Sus scrofa: one gene and its partners. The protein of the gene in region 3 purifies or fractionates together with the protein of the main gene of each other region. This does not show direct contact. Links are inferred from orthologs where the notes say so. Each region holds a gene or a part of one and is shown on either strand. Other genes may lie near its edges. The genes, in order: AP1M2, AP1S1, AP1B1, EPS15 and AP1G2.

Evidence for each region.
Region 1: the proteins of AP1B1 (region 3) and AP1M2 purify together in Homo sapiens (affinity purification with mass spectrometry; 3 studies listed by BioGRID and IntAct, counting the BioPlex papers as one, with this or other methods). This does not show direct contact. The link is inferred for Sus scrofa from reciprocal best matches to the Homo sapiens genes AP1B1 and AP1M2.
Region 2: the proteins of AP1B1 (region 3) and AP1S1 fractionate together in Homo sapiens (co-fractionation; 6 studies listed by BioGRID and IntAct, with this or other methods). This does not show direct contact. The link is inferred for Sus scrofa from reciprocal best matches to the Homo sapiens genes AP1B1 and AP1S1.
Region 4: the proteins of AP1B1 (region 3) and EPS15 purify together in Homo sapiens (affinity purification with mass spectrometry; 3 studies listed by BioGRID and IntAct, with this or other methods). This does not show direct contact. The link is inferred for Sus scrofa from reciprocal best matches to the Homo sapiens genes AP1B1 and EPS15.
Region 5: the proteins of AP1B1 (region 3) and AP1G2 fractionate together in Homo sapiens (co-fractionation; 3 studies listed by BioGRID and IntAct, with this or other methods). This does not show direct contact. The link is inferred for Sus scrofa from reciprocal best matches to the Homo sapiens genes AP1B1 and AP1G2.

The regions. Positions count from the first base shown.
Region 1 is NC_010444.4:69,351,105-69,355,064, forward strand, and holds the start of AP1M2 (AP-1 complex subunit mu-2), read right to left. Parts: upstream 2,803-3,960; 5' UTR 2,688-2,802; coding exon 2,646-2,687; intron 943-2,645; coding exon 786-942; intron 569-785; coding exon 501-568; intron 1-500. UniProt on the Homo sapiens protein: Subunit of clathrin-associated adaptor protein complex 1 that plays a role in protein sorting in the trans-Golgi network (TGN) and endosomes.
Region 2 is NC_010445.4:8,879,757-8,883,802, reverse strand, and holds the start of AP1S1 (AP-1 complex subunit sigma-1A), read right to left. Parts: upstream 2,811-4,046; 5' UTR 2,675-2,810; coding exon 2,672-2,674; intron 2,169-2,671; exon of another isoform or gene 2,039-2,168; intron 898-2,038; coding exon 719-897; intron 132-718; coding exon 23-131; intron 1-22. UniProt on the Homo sapiens protein: Subunit of clathrin-associated adaptor protein complex 1 that plays a role in protein sorting in the late-Golgi/trans-Golgi network (TGN) and/or endosomes.
Region 3 is NC_010456.5:46,492,652-46,496,166, forward strand, and holds part of AP1B1 (AP-1 complex subunit beta-1), read right to left. Parts: intron 2,573-3,515; coding exon 2,437-2,572; intron 1,734-2,436; coding exon 1,488-1,733; intron 1-1,487. UniProt on the Homo sapiens protein: Subunit of clathrin-associated adaptor protein complex 1 that plays a role in protein sorting in the late-Golgi/trans-Golgi network (TGN) and/or endosomes.
Region 4 is NC_010448.4:160,789,812-160,792,852, forward strand, and holds the end of EPS15 (epidermal growth factor receptor substrate 15), read left to right. Parts: intron 1-97; coding exon 98-244; 3' UTR 245-2,532; downstream 2,533-3,041. UniProt on the Homo sapiens protein: Involved in cell growth regulation. May be involved in the regulation of mitogenic signals and control of cell proliferation. Involved in the internalization of ligand-inducible receptors of the receptor tyrosine kinase (RTK) type, in particular EGFR.
Region 5 is NC_010449.5:75,546,551-75,549,995, reverse strand, and holds the end of AP1G2 (AP-1 complex subunit gamma-like 2), read right to left. Parts: intron 3,316-3,445; coding exon 3,226-3,315; intron 3,139-3,225; coding exon 3,011-3,138; intron 2,769-3,010; coding exon 2,664-2,768; intron 2,374-2,663; coding exon 2,262-2,373; intron 2,177-2,261; coding exon 2,041-2,176; intron 1,567-2,040; exon of another isoform or gene 1,364-1,566; coding exon 1,200-1,363; exon of another isoform or gene 976-1,199; coding exon 877-975; exon of another isoform or gene 790-876; coding exon 688-789; 3' UTR 506-687; downstream 1-505.

The DNA of each region.
Region 1 (3,960 bases), on a different chromosome or scaffold from region 3:
GAAGTTGGTGAGTGGGTTTGGAACCCAGTTCCCTTTAGTTCAGATTATTATTTTTCCTTTTTCTAAGGCCATACCTGAGGCATATGGAAGTCCCCAGGATAGAGGTCAAATTGGAGCAGTAGTTGCCGGCTTATGCCACAGCCACAGCAATGCCAGATTTGAGATGCGTCTGCAACCTACACCTTAACCCACTGAGCGAAGCCAGGGATCGAACCTGCAACCTCATGGATACTAGTCAGGCTCATTACCACTGAGCCATAATGGGAACTCCCCCCTTGGTTCATATTTGAGCAGGATACCCTCTGAGGAACCTCCCTGGTCCCTGCCCTATAGGGAGAGATGATACCATAGCAGCTAATGAGAATACAGAGTGATGGGGCGTTGATGGGGGCACCCCCAGGGAGGTCAGGGAAAGCTTCCTAGGAGAGATGGATCCTGAAACAGGCAGACAAAACAGGTGGACAGACAGACCAGGCAGCCAATGGAAGGCCAGAACCTACCTCCACTGTCTTGTACAGGAAGGAGTACACAAGAGAGGCGTTGGCATTCTTCAGGGTGGTGGCCACCACTGCAGGCAGCAAGGTTAAGGAAAAGGTGCCATTTTGGAGGGTTCCAATGGAGTACAGACCCTGAAACACACACCCCCAGCCCCCACCCCTGCCCCAACCACCCTCACCCTCCAGCTTGAGCCACGATGGGCTGTGTGTCTCCTGTGCTGACCCACCTTTTCTGGGCCTGAGCTGCCACCACCCCAAGCCCCCAGGGACCCACCTGTGGCTGGATACAGTAGAGGTTGCTGTATTTGATCCACAAGAAGTGGACCCGGCCATGGCTCAGCAGTGGGGCCAGGGCACCCTCCTCCTCCCGCTGCATAAGCAAAGGCATGAAGTGCTCGATCTCGCTCATGGCCACGTCGCCCTTGTAGTTGCGGCTGATCAAGGGCTGAGAGTGGACAGAGAAGGGCTGGTCACCTCTGGGATCCAGGGACATTCCTGCCAGAGGCATCAGAGCACGAGGCTCTGAGCCCACTTGCTGGCTAAGGGGTGTGGGCAAGGCTCTGCCTCTCTGCACCTCAGTTTCCTCTTCTGCAAAATGCCAGGATATTTGTGGATTTATTTATTTATTTGTTTGTTTATGTCTTTTCTAGGGCCCCACCCATGGCATATGGAGGTTCCCAGGATAGGGGTCCAATTGGAGCTGTAGCTGCCAGCAATGCAGGATCCGAGCCGTATCTGTGACCTACATCAAAGCTCAAGGCAATGCTGGATCTTTAACCCACTGAGCAAGGCCAGGGATCAAACCCACAACCTCATGGTTCCTAGCCAGATTCGTGAACCACTGAGCCATGACGGGAACTCCTGTTTGATGATTTATTTCATTGTCACCACAAGCGTGAGGTTGGTGATCTCATCATTTCCATTTTACAGATGGGGAAACTGAGGTATGAATCATCTCCACAGTAAGTGGGGAAGCCAAGAATTGAATCCTGGCTCTAGAATTCCTGCTCTCAAGCACGGCTTCTATCACCAAATAGGTAAGGTAGAGATGATGAAAGGAAAGAAAGAGAGGAGTTCCCACCATGGCACAATGGGATTGGGAGTGTTTCTGTGCAGGTTTGATCTCCAGCCTGGGATGCAGGTTTGATCTCCAGCCTGGCACGGTGGGTGAAGGATCTGGTGTTGCCAAAGCTGCAGCACAGGTCACAACTGCTGCTGGGATTTGATCCCTAGCCCAGGGGAACACCATATAAAGGGAAAAAAAAGGAAAGAAAGAAGAGAGAAAAAAAGAAAGAGAGAGAGAGAAAGAAAAGAAGGAAGAAAGGAAGGAAAGAAGAGTTCCCTAGTGTCTCAGCAGGTTAGGGGTCCACCGTTGTCACTGCTGTGGCTCCAGTTGTAGCTGTAGCTTGAGTTCGATTCCTTGGCCCAGGAATTTCCGCATGCCATGGGCGTGGCCAAAAAAATAAAGAAAAAACAAAAAAAGAAAAATGATTATACCCATATACATCTTCTAGTTCATATGCTCTGTCTGGCAGGCAGTAGCAGTCAATAATAGTAGTACCTACTTGGGGAGGTTATGTAGTCCAGTGTTTTAGAACCCAGCGGGCACTAAGCAGGTCCTCACACACCTTAGCTTTCAATATTATTATCAGGAATATTACTCTCACCACCACTATTATTATTGCTATTGAATGACATGACAAATGGGAGGGGATTCCAAGAAGGGACAAGGCAGCCTCAAAGGATAATTAGGGTCTTCTGCCTGTGCTGTTCTCCCCAAATAATAATATGGAGGATGATGATAGAAATAATTTCAACAGATTAAATGCCAAATGTTTGCAGCAGGGGAACTGTGCTAACTAATATACAGACATGGGGTTGTGTTCTTTCTTCTTGGGTGGGGACTGTCTTATTCATTCCCATTTGCATGGACAGTGAGACTGAGGCTCAGAGAGGCGAGGCCCCTTGCCTCAGACACGCGACTGGTAAACAGCGAAGGTGGGATTAGCGCGGGACACCCAGGCCTTGGGGGAGGGGTGTTCCTACACACCAGAGCTTTCTGGGGCCTCGAGACCCGGAGGCCCGCCCCTGGGTCGGGGAGAGCGGAGCCTCACCTGTCCGTCCCCTCCTCCCCGCCCCCAGCCTCACCTTGCCCTTAACGTCGAGGATGAAGACAGCGGAGGCGGACATGGTGGCGGCCGGCGGACTAGGGAGGTGGGAAGGGAACTCCAGGAGGCGACAGTGGCGCCGCTTCCTTCTTCCTGCGGAAGCGCCCGCGCGCAGGTGAGGACCCAGGTGAGCGCGTCTTAAAGGGGAGGTCTCCAGGTGAGCGGCGCTGTCGGCCGACGAGAAGACGCTGCGAGGGCGGAGCTTCGGCTGGGACAGCTGCCCCGCCTCACTTTCCCTTTGCATCCTGGAGTGTCGATGGGCTGGGCGGAGATCTCAGACCAACCATCTATCCATCCAGCCAACAAACTATTCATCCATCCATTCATCCATCTAACCATCCAACCAACCACCACCCAGCCACTCATTCGTTTCTCTTGTCACTACCACGCGGGTATTCATCCCATAGAGCAGGGACTTGTGTTTTTCATGCCTGGGGCCTCAGTGACTAGTGCTGGCTGGGTGCTCAATGTGTGCCTAATTAATTAATACCCTACATATTTACTAATTAATGTCTTCATTCACTCGCTGATAAATTCTTCCACTCCATGCCCGGAACTGCGGCTTTTTTTTTTTTTTTTAGAGCCGCAGCCACAGGCATATGGAGTTTCCCAAGCTAGGGGTCTAATCGGAGCTACAGCTGCCGGGCCTACGCCAGAACCGCAGCAACATAAGATCTGAGCCGCATCTGCGACCTATACCACAGCTCACGGCAATGCAGGATCCTTAACCCACTGAGCAAGGCCAGGGATCGAACCCGAAACCTCATGGTTCTTAGTCGTATTTGTTTCTGCTGTGCCACAATGGGAACTCCCAGAAACTGTGGTTTGCATGCTGCACAGGACAAATGTAGCTGCTTTTACTACTATTCCTAATGTTACTCTTTTATTAAAAAAAATTTAGGGAGTTCCCTAGTGCCCTAGTGGCTAGAGGACCCAGCATTGTCACTCCTGCGGTGTAGATTCTATCCCTGGCCTAGAACTTCTGTGTGCAACCCAAAAAATTATTTTTGTAATTTTTCTAATTTTTTATACAGTTTTGTTTGTTTGTTTTGTCCTTTTAGGGCTGCACCCATAGCACATGGTGTTTCCCAGGCTAGGGGTCAAATTGGAGCTGCAGCCACCAGCCTACGTCACAGCAATAGAAACTTGGGATCCGAGCCGCATCTGCAACCTACACCACAGCTCACGGCAATGCCAGAGCTTTAACCCACTGAGTGACACCAGGGATCGAACCCACGTCCTCATGGATGCTAGTCGGGTTCATTAACCACTAAGCCAAAACAGAACTTCTTTTT
Region 2 (4,046 bases), on a different chromosome or scaffold from region 3:
TGTGGTGGGTGGGGAGACTTACACTGCCGAAGTATTTGTCCAGGAGCTCCACGTATCGATGGATCAGCTCCAGTGTGATGAGCTCATTGTCTTGGCCCTCGATGGCACAGCAGAAGTAGAGGCTGGCGTATCTGAGGACAGGGGCACATGAGGGATGGCTGGAAGGGCTGCTGGGTTGGCTTCAGGACCCAGACCTCCCATTTTCCCTCATTCCCAGTGTGCGCCCCTATAGCACACTGGCGAGGTGGGGCCAGGGTATGCACATAGCAATTCCCTCAGCCTCTCAGATCCTCTCACAAACGCAGGCAAAGACGCAAGCTCTTCCCCTCTTGCCCTCTGACCTGTTCAGTTTGACTCAGCAAAAACCTGAGCCAACGAATCCACCTGCTCTGAGAAGGAACTGGAAAGGGTGTGTGTGCCTGTGCCTGTGTGTTGGGAAAGTGGCACAGTATCTAGGAGGCTGCAAGGGACGTGCCCAACAGACAAGACCGGACCTTTAGGACAGAGGGAGGTGCATGAAATAGGTGTCAGGTTGGACAAAACCAAAAGGGAACCAGAATTTCAGTCAAGGTGGCTGGAGTTCACCACTGGCCTCCAGAGGTCCTTAGCTCTCAGCTCTCCCTGATCTAAGGACTGCTTATTTCTCAGCCATGTGAACCCATAGCCAGACCCCAATCAAGCAGGAAACAGGTGGGACTGAGAGCAGGTGGGAAGTCACCTCTTATAGACGACTTTGAGGTCCCTCCACTCGAGGAAGCTGCACATCTTGGGCTTGCGAGCCAGAACAACCTGCATGAGCTCCCGAACCATCTTCTTTCGCTCCTTGTCTGATGTGGCCAGGTACCATTTTTGCAGCCGCAGCTTTCCCTGCCGGCTGAACAGCAGCATGAATCGCATCTGGGGGTGGAGGGGGAGAGTCAGAGCAGAAGGTCAGAGATTTGGTTCTCTGAGCTTGTTTCCTCCATAACTACGCAGCCCCAAACTCATCCCAACTAACGGTTCTACTCACAGCTCCTTTCTCCAACATGTCAGCCCTTGCTGTCAAGCCTAGGTGCTTCCACTAGCAGGTGTCAGAGCTTCTGAGTCTCTTATTCGGGTTCAAATCCTGGCTCCACTAGTTGAGTACTTTGCCTTGGGCAATTACTTTATGTCTCTGGGCTTCAGCTTCTTGGTGTGTAAGGTGAAAATAATAAAAGTCCCTACCTTACACAGTTGTTGAATGGGATGAAGAGAGTTGATAAATGACACAGTGCCCGGCAGGAAATGAGCACGTTAACACCTTAGGTGTTATTATTATTCCCTGATCTTCTGTTTCCTAATCATGTTTTCCAAAAGTGGGTAAAATGCTAGCACAGTGACAAGTAGCCTGTAGCTGAAATCAGGTATCTCATCCCTCGAGAAGCTACCTCAGTTCAACACCCCATCCCAGCCAGATACCCTAGCTGATGTCCCCAACACACTGCCCGCCAGTGCCAGGCCTATGCCCCAGGGTCTCCTTCATGTCAGCACATGATTCCACCCTCCTCTCTCCTCAGCCACCCAGGCATTTGGCCTCTGAGATTCCTCTTTTCTTCCTTTCAGGGTGCCACCTGCTACAACGCCCACACCTCCCCAGATACCAGGTGACCAATTTCCCTTCCAGTTCCTCAGTTTGGACACAGCCATTCAGAGTGGCTCCCCTAGGGAATGTTGTGGAACAAGTGCAAGAGGGTGGAGTGGGGAAGAGTGCAGAACCCTCGACCCCGTAAACCCCGCAAACCCCGCCGGCAGCTTCCCAGTTCCAGGGGTCTGGGTCACACCTGGAGTCATCTCCCTCACCCACTAGCTCTTGTCTCCGTGTACATTCCCAGGGCCGGAATCCTGGGGATGTGGAACAACACTAGCAGGCTAAAGATCAGAATTCAAGAGAACCGATTTTTTTTTTTTGCTGGCAGGGAAGGGGTAGCACTGCTAGCGTGGTGGGAGGGCCACGGAGGGGCTGAAGGGAGCCGTGCTCCGCTAAGATGGGGGGTGGGCCGGGCAGCAGGAAGACGGAAGGCCTGGGTTCCGGAAAGAGGATGAGGTGGGGGCGGAGAGGCCAGAGCACGCGAGCCGAGGAGCCAAAAGCTGGGTCCCCGAGAGCAAAACCTCGAGACCACTTGGCTTTCCCACCTCACTCCAGCCTCTAGGTGAGCAGGGCGGCAAACCGCGGCAGGACGTCCCCTCGTCACACCCGGAAACTATCCCCTCCCACACACACGGCCCTCCCCGCCGGCGGCCGCCGCTTCTCTGTGGGCTGCACGGGTACAGTCAGTCTGGGTGACCCGAGACCCCCCTCTGCCTTCCTCCTCCGACAGGCCCCGGTGCCGCTCTTCCTCAGGCGACTTCCCTGTGGCAGGGCTCGGGACCACTGGGTTCGCGACCCGCGCGTTCCCGCTCGCCCGGGCCAGTCCCGCCGCCCCCTAGTCACCCTCTCACCCCACAAATGTGCCCCCTCCCCGCCCCTTTGCCCTTAAGCCATTTCCAGCTGCTCTTCCTTTCGAGGCCGGCTGGCCCACCCGTCCGGATAAGTAAAGGCCTCTGAGGACCGGAGGGAAGGAAACGGCTCACACAGAGGGCGGCCCCCCAGGACCCCCGCAGGTGCAGCCCACGCCCCTCGGTTCCCCCTCCCCTCCCTCTTTGCACAGCCTACCATCCTGCAGCCTCCGGCCCTGCGCGTCCCTCTTCAGCCACCGTAGGCGCCAGCTCCACTCCCTTTCAGATCCCTTCGCCTCCTTCCCTCCCTCACGCTTGAAGCCCCGCCCCGTCCGCCCCGGCACGGAGAACCCATGCGATGCGTACTGCGCAGGCGCCAACGCTGCAGGGCGCGCAGGCGGGGCTGGGGGGCGGAGAAGCGGAAGCCATGGCAACCAGGTCCTCGACTTCAGCTTTGATTAGCTCTGTCGTCATGGTAACAAGGCTGTCTTGTGGGCTGGTTGGAGGACGGGGGAGGAGGACAATGAGGTCCTCGCGCTTTGGAACCTTGGGGGGAAAAGGCGGGAAAAGGGGTGAGAGATGGGTGAGATGACCGCTGGAGTTCATGAGGAAGTAGGGTGGTTTAATGGAAGGGGCGTGGGCGACTGAGAGGGAACAAGGTGGGAACTGTCTGTGGGGAAGGAAGAATGATGAGAAAGGCGAAGACAAAGGGTGGGGGGGGCAAGCTTGAGAAAAGTATGGAGCTCAAAATAGATATCTACTGAGAACCTGCTAGATGCAACACTCAAAGTAAGAGAGATTTGTAGGTAATGAGAGAGACCAGAAATAAAAGAAAAAGGAGGGGCTGATAGAAAACTGATGTAAGGAAGAGGGGGAGCATGAATTAAGGCAAAAGAGGAAGAAGTCGAGAAAATTTTAAAAGGTTAGCATAAATCAAAGCTAGGAAAGGGTCAGTTGTAACCCAGACACAAGTGTAAAGATGAGAATTGTCATACAAGCTTTTTGGCTGAGGATGTGCATGTTTGAGTGTGTATGCTTGTGTGTGTAAAGGAGTTTGCATATAAATAGGTAAGAAAATCTCAAACTTGCTGAAAAAATGGCATATTTCTAGATAATTCTTGGAAATTAATGGTGCTATTACTTATGAGCAGCACTTGAAGCAGTTGTTGGTAAGGTCCTACCTGTCTCCACTTTGTATTCTTTTTCCTTTACTCTTTGTTATGGAGGTAATATGCTTTAGTTGCCAGAGGGTGGGCCTAATTCACCTGGGATGCAATCTGGTCTCTGATTCTTATTTGATGTATAGTCTCAAGTGGGTCATTTGGGGGGGGGTACTGCTCTCACAGCATGCAGATGTGCCCAGGCCAGGTAATCCAACCCTCGCCACAGCAGAGATCCAAGCCACCAGATCCTTAACCCTCTAGGCCACCAGGGAACTCCTCAAGTGGATCATTTAACCCTCCTTTCCTCATTTTAAAAACGAAGATAGCATTACCTACCCTGCAAGTCTGATTTCAGGCTGTATATATCTGACACACTGTAAACACCTGATTTGGGTAGGGATTACGACTATTTGCTTTTTCCACCCTCTT
Region 3 (3,515 bases):
GTGTTACACAGAATGGGACAGCTGGGCCAGGCAGGTTGTACATTGCCTTTTTTTTAATCTTTTTATAGCTGCACCTGCAGCATATGAAAGTTCCCAGGCTAAGGGTCGAATCAGAGCTGTATCTGGGGCCTATGCCACAGCAACTTCGGATCTGAGACCCATCTGTGACCTATGCTGTAGCTCATGGCAATGCCAGGTCCTTAAGCCACTGAATGAGGCCAGGATCAAACCCATATCCTCATGGATACTAATCAGATTAGTTTCCTCTACTCCACAAAGGGAACTCCACATTTCATTTTATTTAAAAAAATTTTTTAATCTTTTTGTCTTTTTAGGGCCACAGCCGCTGCATATGGAGGTTCCCAGGCTAGGGGTCGAATCAAAGCTGTAGCTGCTGGCATACGCCACAACCATAGAAACGCCAGATCCAAGCTGAGTCTGCGACCAATACCACAGCTCACAGAAATGCTAGATCCTTAACCCACCGAGTGAGGTCAGGGATCGAACCCGCATCCTCATGGATCCTGGTCGGCTTTGTTAACCACTAAGGCACTGACGGGAACTCCCACATTTCATTTTAAATATGGCCCTACTGAATTGCCCACCAAACCGAGGAGACCAGGTCCCCTCCCAACGCATCCTGGTGCCTTTTCTCCGGTTACACTACTTCAAGGGTAACCATCTCTAACTCTGCAAAGAGTGGGGAAAGGGAGAAGCACCTCCCATTCACAGCTCATTGATGGTCTTGGTGAGAGGACGGTGATAACAACAGTGACTAGGAGTTTCCGTCATGGCTCAGGGAACCATGTGGTTGTGGTTAATGAATCTGACTAGGAACCATGAGGGTGTGGATTTGATCCCTGGCCTCACTCAGTGGGTTAAGGATCCAGCATTGCAGTGAGCTGTGGTGTACGTTGCAGACGTGGCTCGGATCCTGCGTTGCTGTGGCTCTGGCGTGGGCCAGCGGCTACAGTTCCGATTAGACCCTAGCCTGGGAAACTATATGCCACGGGAGTGGCCCAAGAAATGACAAAAAGACCAAAAAAACAAACAAACAAAACAAAACAAAACAAACCCCAAAAAAACCAACAACAGTGACTAGAAGGGGAAGGAGGGCACTAGTCGTAGATGCATATCCACTGTGTGCCAGGCTATGCTAGGCACGATACCTTCATAGATAAAGCCTCATACACTCCTGGTAACCATGCAGAAATAGATTCATCTTACTGATGAAGAAAAGAGGGCTCTGGAAGGTTAGGCAGCTTGCTCAAGGTCGCAAAGCTTGTTAGAGAGAGCCGTGCAGACAAGAGCATCTAGGTCTAGCTCACTCCAAAGATGGTGCCCAAACCACTGCAGGCAGGAGAACAGCTGGCCCACCCCGCAGGGCTCTTTCCAGGAACTGAAGCTGCCTGGTGGAGGGTCAAGCCAAGGCCTTCCAAGGAACCCTGGAGGAGGTAGAGGTGACACTGTGGGTGGCAGTGACTTACCATGGGGTTAGAATCAGAGATGAGGTCTTTAAGAGTGTCTAGGAAGCCCTGGTCCTCTACCAGCTGGGCGTTGATGTCGTGAAGCTTGGCCACGCACACAGCTGCTGTCTTACGCACATAGGGGTCCTCATCCTTTAGGCACTTCCGGAGTGGCTCACACAGATACTCTGTGATCTTGTCGACACGGATGCACCCCATGGTCCGCACAGCCAGAGCCCGGATCAGAGGGTTGGGGTCCTCACAGTCCTAAGGGGAATCAGCCATTGGCCGAGGTGAGCAACATCATACAGCTACCATGGGATCTCCCACCAATTGTGGCCAACAACATCAAAAGCAAGGGCCATATATGGGCATCTAACACCTGCCAGATGCTAGGCTTTGCACTATCCTCCTTGATCCTCATAGCAGACACAGAATACAGTTCCTATTTTACAGGTGAGGGAGCTGAGGCTCTCAGCAAGGTCGGGAGCTCACCCAGTCACACAGCAGAGCCATGACCCATCCTGCATCTAATATTTCAATTAGGCCCTAGGACTCACCTATCTGGGCATCAATGGGAATTAGGGAGCTAAGGTTATAAAGTGCAGAGCTGACACTGCAAGTCCCTGCTTCTCCCCAATCTGGAGGACAGAAAATGCAGAAAGGAGCAAAGTCTAGAAGGGGAGCACAGCTCTCAGATGCGTGCTGCATCCTGTGCTGGCAAATGACGCAGGGCAGTGGCTCACCCCAGGGAACAGGGGGAACAACAGGCCTGGGGTGACCTCACATGGAGTGAAGTAGCAGGGTCTGTGGCATCTGCTATTCTGAAGAGAGCTGGGGCCCTCTGCTGGAGGAAGAGTCCCCAGGATGGGAGCCAGAGGGCCCAGGCCCAGAGCCATAGTGCCCCACCCTAAGAGACCGGGGGGAGCAGTAAGCAGCTACACCCCTCCTCCCACAAGCTCCTGCTCACCTTCACAAAGGTGTTGACGGCCATAATGGCCATGTCTGGCTGACTCTTGGCATAGTTCATCAAGTACAGGTACACTAGCTTCTTCAGCTCCAGGTTGTCCGTCTGCATACAGTTCACCACATCGGGGAAGAGGGCACTGGAAGGTCAAAGCGGTGTCAGTGCAAGGAAGGCCAAAGAAGAGAAAAGAAGATTTTTCAGGCAGTTAATGGAGGGTGCGGAGGGGGGTGAGTGGGAAGGAGGGAAGGAAAAGATAACAGGTCTTCCTAGTAAAAGGCAGGGCAACAGCTTTTACCATGAATATCTACTGGTAGAAAATGAATTCCAAAGGGTGATTTTTTTCCCCCTTTTTTGGCTGCACCAGTTTTCCAGCAGACACCCGATCCCTTTGCTGATCTGTCCTCAGCAGGCTTCTCTGTAGAGCTGCTTCTCCTGTGGTGCTGTCAGGAGGTCCCTTGCTGAGTGTGGCAATGGGATTGGGCACTACAAGTATGAGCAGAGGGATCCTGCTGAGGGACCCAGATGGGGAGCTGCTCCAGGCCAGTGTCCAGGCCTACAAGGCATGGAGCTTGGCACCACAAGGACACCAAGGACAGGGAAGGAAGAAAGCACCCAGGTCTGGATTTCAGATGGGTTGAGCGTGAGTAATGGTTCTGCCATTAACCAAGTGACCATTTGGACAGTCACTGTTTCTGGCTTCTTTGGCCAAAGATCATCCTTACCTACAGTATGGAAATTGTATGGAACTTCCAGGAAAATATATCTAAAAGTGTTCTGCTGACTCTCAAACACTATGTGTTGAGCTGCTGTAAAATCTAGCCCTTGTCCTTGAGGACTTGACAATGTGGTGGGCAGGGAGGCTCAAGCGCACATAAGAAGAGGGCACTCTAGAATTAGGGCCAAGCAATAGGAACACAGCAAATGCTATGTGTTCAGGGCAGTGGGCCAGAGTGATGAAGGAGACAGCTGGGTAAACGCAAAAGGGGAAGGGACGTTCCAGGCTGGGGAGATGCATGAGTAAAGGAGGGGCTGTCATTCTGTATGCGATCTGCTGTGGTAACAGATGCAAACCAGAGGCTGCA
Region 4 (3,041 bases), on a different chromosome or scaffold from region 3:
AAGTGTCCTTTTGTGAAGCCTCTTTTTCCTTCTTTTCTTTGTATTTGTACCACTCATGAAGCTGTTCATTTGTTTGTTCATTTGACTTAAATGGCAGTACCCCTCTGAAGAAGATATGATTGAATGGGCCAAGAGAGAAAGCGAGAGAGAGGAAGAGCAGAGGCTTGCCCGACTTAATCAGCAAGAGCAGGAAGACTTGGAACTGGCTATTGCACTCAGCAAATCTGAGATCTCAGAAGCATGAAGAATTCTCCTGTCCTTTGGTCAGCCACACAGTACCCTCCCTCCCGAATACTGAAGCTATTTACAGTGTGTACCAAAACTCCCTACAAGCATGGGAAAACAAAAGGTTTGAGATTCCTGTAAATGTGACAAAAAGTTTTGTTTTGTTTTTTAACTCCATTTCAGATTTGTCTCCCCCCGCGCCCTACCCCGACCCCCGTAAAAGCAGTAACTCAGACAACTTCACCTAGGCCCCTGTTCTGGTGTGCATTTAGTGTGAGCTTTTGCCTGCCTGTGCTCCTTTTACTTGTAAAGCTAGAGCACCCAAGCTTCTGCCTTCTGGAATATAGAGAAGTAGTTTCACCCCTGTGCTACCCTTGTTCTGTAGTTACTCTAATGATAGCTAGTGGGGTTCTTAAAGTTGGCAGTATTCTCCCTGGATTTAAATAGTTGAGAGAGGGGAAGGGAAAGAACATCCTGTTTCTTTTACAGTAAAACAAATTGGGTAGTTTAAAAGTACATATTTGTATTTCCTTATAATCAGAGTACTGTTCAGTTTGGTTTTTATAGACAAGAAAAAATATTTTGCATAAATTGACTCCCCTATTGAAAAAGGGATGCTTTAGATTGACCCATTATAGCTTCAGACTCCATCTTTTCCTAAATAAAAAATGTTAAAGCCTCATGTGTGAAATATATTTAAAAAATTTTTTCTCTGAATTTAAAGAATTTTAGATAAACAGATACCTCTTCATAATTTTAAGTGCTAGAGAGTGGAGAAAAATTATCACCTAAATTATACCCATCAATATAATACAAGGTAAGCAAAAATCTTATGGCAGCCATTCTGCCATTCCTATGGCACTGTCCTCTTTAGTTCATGGTAGGTTTATTTTTATACTTTTGAAGAAGAAACCTTAGCAGGCTAGAACTGGAAGGTACTTTAACTTTTTGTATATATATATATATTTTGTTTTCTTTAATGAAGACGCAGTTACTTGAAATGTAAAAACATTCACTGAATACAAATGAAAAAAGTGACATTATTAAATCATATTATTTTTTTCCCATCTTTGTGGATTAGAATAGTTTATTATCTTCATGTTTTTCACCTATAAAATTGGCAGGCTAGCAAAAAATATGTTTTTTTTTTAATTGGGAGAGAAGAGACCTGACAGATTATCAAAGTTCTTTATGTCTTAGAAGTTGTCTCCTGTAAAACTGACCTAGCAGACAAGCTGAATTTAAAAGGGACTCTGAAGTAGGCTGTAAATTATAAAGTAATCTTAATTTTTTTAACATCAGTTACTAAAATAATGTATTGAAAACGAAGATAAAGGAAAATGCACCTAAAAACTAATTAAATGTCCCTGTGGTCACCAAGTAAAGGTGGTATTATTGATCTGTGTTAATCAGGGTGGCTGATTGTCTAGCCTATGAATAAATCCCCAAATATCCAGTTCATTTCATCTTGAAATGGTGCTTTTTTTCTCTCCACACAATTGGACTGCTGCATTTCAAAAAACTTAAACCACTTTCTTGCACTGCTAACTTTTTTCTACTTTTATAAATTGGAACATCTCGGCATGGAAGTCATACATGTGAAGCAAGGGCTGAATCATAATCACAAGGCTTTAATTTTGATGAACAAATTCAGTAATAAGGGTATACTGCAAAAAGTTGATTGAGAAGGTAGTGTTGGGACTTGTGATAGGTAGTGGTTTTTGGGTTTTTTTTCTTCCCCTTACATTTGAGGAGAAAAGGTAAGTTGACTTGAACAACCTTTTGCACTGGGAAAATGAACAGATGTTTGAAATGGTTTTAAAATCTTTTTTTTTTTTTTTTAATTAAAAAACACTCTGGAAAATACTAAATATCTGTAACTTAAAAACACCAACTTTTGATGTAATAAATATACCCTAATCTTATGTGTGTTTAACTGGATTACATAGATTCTTATCTTTTGTTAAAATGTGTATACTCAGTGGACCAATATAATATGAAAGTATGTATATATTATATAAAAATATATATATATATATATATCTAAATCTCCATGCTCACTTGTGTAGGATGAATGTCTTAGAGTTATTTGTGATTATATTTTACGTTGTTGACTGACTCCAGAGCCTGTGCTTGGAAAGGACAGATAAGTATTCGGAGAGCTAAGTGGCACTACTTACAAAGTTTTAACCATCTTCTACCTACTTGTTCAAGTTTGAGTTCTCTTTATAGAACTTTCTCCTCTGTTTCAAACTTCTAAATTGTAGCCTGTAATTATGAGAACAATAAACTTTCAGTAATAATAAACCATACTATCCGTCCGTCCTATCTGAAATGGAGTTTTGCATGGTTCTCTGTTATGTCCATGCTGTGTCCACGGAGGGGTAGGCATACAGTCAGCACAGATGAATATGTGTAAAGTGCTTGAGACAGTACCTGGTGTAGAATAAATACTCAATAAATGTTAACTCTTATTTTCAGTTATCACGTCCTGTTTTTGTGAGAGAGTGGTAGGAAATGTGTGTGCATAGAGACCGTGCCTGAATCATAGGTGGTTTGTATGTGTTTGTTGAGTAAGGATTTGTGACATGGACTCTAGGCGGGCACTGTGCTGTAGAAAATTCACGCAATCCTGGGACTGAATCCCTGGTCTGCCATTTCTGGAAAAGAGACTTGGACAGCGTTATATCTGGCTTCCCTGAGCCTCATTTTCCTCATCAGGATGGTTCTGAAGAATTTGAGTTGGACAGCTTTTTAGTATTACTTACTTTAATTAAACAAATTCAGCCATGTTATTATTAATAGTGAAGATGGCT
Region 5 (3,445 bases), on a different chromosome or scaffold from region 3:
ATGCAATCTGCGGGCCGCCCCTCTCCCCTGGCCGCTAAGCAGCCTCCATTGATTTCCGCTCGTGTTTATAGGATTTCCACTTAGCCGTGATCAGTAGTTAAGCACAGGAAAATCCCTTGCCACCCCCCTCCCTTGGTCGATGCCATTGATTCTGCCAGCGGCTCCTAAACCGCCTTACAGCTGAGTTAGAGATGAGGGGAGGCAGCAGGGATTTCCCTGCCCTGGGGTATGGGGAATAGCAGCAGGTTGGGCAAACAGGCAGGAATCCCTGTTAGGAATCGAGAAATTCTGGTTTGCTGTTGCCACTGTGTCCTGCTCTGGCCCAGAGGGCAGCGTGCCTCCTGTGGAAGTTTAGGGGCACATCTGCTCCCCAGCCCTGGAGAGGGGTAGAAAGAAAACCCTCCTTTGCTGCAACCAGTTCCAAAGGCTCAGGGCAAGATACCTACTTCCCATGTAAGAAAACTCCTCCCTGGGTGTTAAACACATATGTTTTCTACCTCAAATATGGTTTTCCCTCCTCAGGCTTTATTATTTGTGAGGTTGAGGGGGAGCCCCCAACAGGTTCTGCAGTGGCAAGCACAGGACCAGAGCGCCACCTGCTGGTAGCGCTCAGATGTGCCTCCAGGTAGCTGGGGCCCCTGTGGTTTGGGTTCTTAGGAAGACTTCATACTGTGAGTGGAGGCAGAGTTACTGCCATGTCTCCACAGGCAAGTTGTTCACCTCAAAGATTTCCTGCACCGACTGGCCAAAGTGGTTGTAGGTGAGGCGCAGCTTCAGCCGCAAGGGGGCCTAGAGATAAGAGAGCAGAGACCAGGGTTAGCACCTATGACAGCCCCCTTTCCTGGGTCCTAGCCTTGAGGGGCTCCTGGAGCTCACCTTGTTAGGGTTGAGGATTCTGAGGAGCTGCGTCATCGGAAGGCCACCCTGAGCTGGAACTGTGTCCCCACTAGGGGCCTGTAGCTGTAGTTGGAAACTCTGAACACAGAAGGTTGGACAGATCCCACAGTAAGGCAACTGGCTGGGCTCAGGCAACCCCTCCACACCCAGTAGTTTGAACCCTCTTCCCCTAAATCCCCAAGTGCCTGTCCTGGCATATCACTCCCTCCTCATCTCACTCTCTTCCTGACCCACCTCCTCTACTTAGTGGCCTTTTCTCCTGGAGTGCCCAGGCAACATCTGAATCCTAGTCTTCTACAAACCTTGGGCACAGCGGCCTGGCAGATGAAGTGGGTGACATCACCCGCTGAGGTATTGGTGGCTGTGACAGTGATTAACAGCAAAGCAGGGGTTCCAGGGGGTCGAACGAAAGACAGATTCAGCTGTAGTCCCTCACGCTCAAACACTCTGAGATTTGGGATGGGAGCTATGGTAGGGAGAGAAAAGCAGCTCAGTGTATGAGCCGAAGATAATAGTTCATTCGTTCCACAAAAATTAAATGAGCACCCAGTGGGTGCAGGGCACTGCTCGAGAGGCTAGCAACAGAGTGGACAAGGATATGAGGTCCCTGCTGGAGCGGACAGCCTAGTGGGGGGAGAGGACAATAAACGAGATAATCACAGATGGTCACTGGTGCTCCGAAGGAAATAAACTGTCAGGATAACTGGGGGGAACTAACTTAAATAGCAGTAGGGGAAAGCATCTGACATTTCAGGCAAGGCCCAAGAGTGAGAATGAGGCAGTCATTTGATGTGCTGAGGAAAGAGCACTCCATGAGAAAAGAACATGAATGCCAAGGGCTTGAGGTGAAAGGGCCTGAGGGGTTTCGAGGAGACCAGTGGAGCAGGCAGTGGGAAAGCCTATGAGGTGAGTGAGGAGGAAGCAGGGCCCAGAGGCCAGGGTAAGAAGTCTGGAACAAAGGGAAGACACAGGAGGGTGTCCAGGAGGGGACTGGCATGATCCAATGGGCCCTGACACTAGGACAGGGTTGTGATGGGGGCACACCGCAGGGAAGAAGATACCTGAACCTCAGTCCTTGGCTTCAAAGGAGAAGCAGTCTTTCCACCCCTCTTCTTTAAGAAGTTGCCCCTTTGCAGAGCTTACCAGGGGGTGGGGGAGCACAAGGAAGGTCCAGGAGATTTATTAAAGTGCCTCCTGGGGTGGGATCCAGAGGGGGAGGGTGGTGGGCATCTGCAGAAGGGCCATCCAGGAGATCCAAGAGATCCAGGAGCTTCGAGGCCTGGGAGAGGGGGAGAAGGCAGAGAGTCAGGGCTGAGTAAGGAAGCTGGATCATGCTCTTCCTCCGGAGCTCCTCACCTCCTCACCTGGGGCTCTGTGGGGTTAGGGGCCGCTTCTTCTTCTTCGCTTTCCTTTGCTTTCTCATCGACCTGAGGGCCACCTCGCTCCATAAGAGGCATCTTTTCCAGGATGGCAGCCCTGGGAGGATGGAAGGGAGGTATAACCCTCTGGGCAGGCCCTGGGCTTTTCACACAGGAGGTGTGGGAGGAGGGTAAGAACGTGGAGAGTCCTGGGCTTAGGGTGGGTCAGAAGTGCCCCTCTGATTTCCTAAGAAGGCATGCTGCTGCTGTCTGAACAAGGAGGGTGGGAAGCCTGCTTGGCTTCGATGAACTGTGGGTGGGAGGCTCTGACTGGATGAGACCTTTGTGCCCAGAAAGGGACAATGGCCAAGGGGGGTGGGTCCCGCACTGCGGCTGGGTGGTGCGCACCTCATGTGGTCGTACTTCCGGAAGAGAGTGTTGTATTCCACCGCACGCTGCTGCAGCTCCACGTCCATGCAGCTCCCGTAGATGGACACCACCTGGCGGATGCGGCTGGGCCGCGTGGCGGTGTGCAAGTGGGAATGGCGCTCTGCCCCTGCCCCTCACCTCCAGGATGCGGCAGGGAAGGAAGAGGCTCCATGGAGCAGGGAGAGACCCACACTACTTGGCTCAAAAGAAAATACCTAAGGATTGCGGGGAAGTGGGGGGGGTGAGGGCCTGGAGAGAAACCAGAAACTGGGGGTGGGGGCACCGTGGAGAAAGGCTCTAGGAGAGCGGCTGGGCCCCAGTCTCACTTGTTGTCCCCACGGAGCCGGGTGCTGAGCTTCATGAGGGCTGTCAGGGCATATCCTCGGGTAGCTGGCAGGGACATGTGAGACTGCAGCACCCTTTCCAGCAATGCCAACACCTCCTCTTCCTCCACCTTTTGGAGGGACACAGGGAGTGACCCTGGGTTCAGCCCTGCCTCCCCTGACCCATCCCTCCAGTTTACCCCCAGTGCAGGACCCACCTGCAGGGGCTCAGCTTCCTCACAGCTCCCCTCCAGCAGGAGGTCCCCGTATTCCCCAATGCACCAGGCTGCCACCTGCACCAGCGGTTGCTGCATGGGGTAAGAAACGTGCTGGGCCAGCGTCTGGGTCCCCTCCTCACTTCCAGACCCTGTGACATCCCTTTAGGTAGTGCAGAGATGGTGGAGTTTAGAGGAGAGGGGAAAAGGGAAGGCCTTCAGC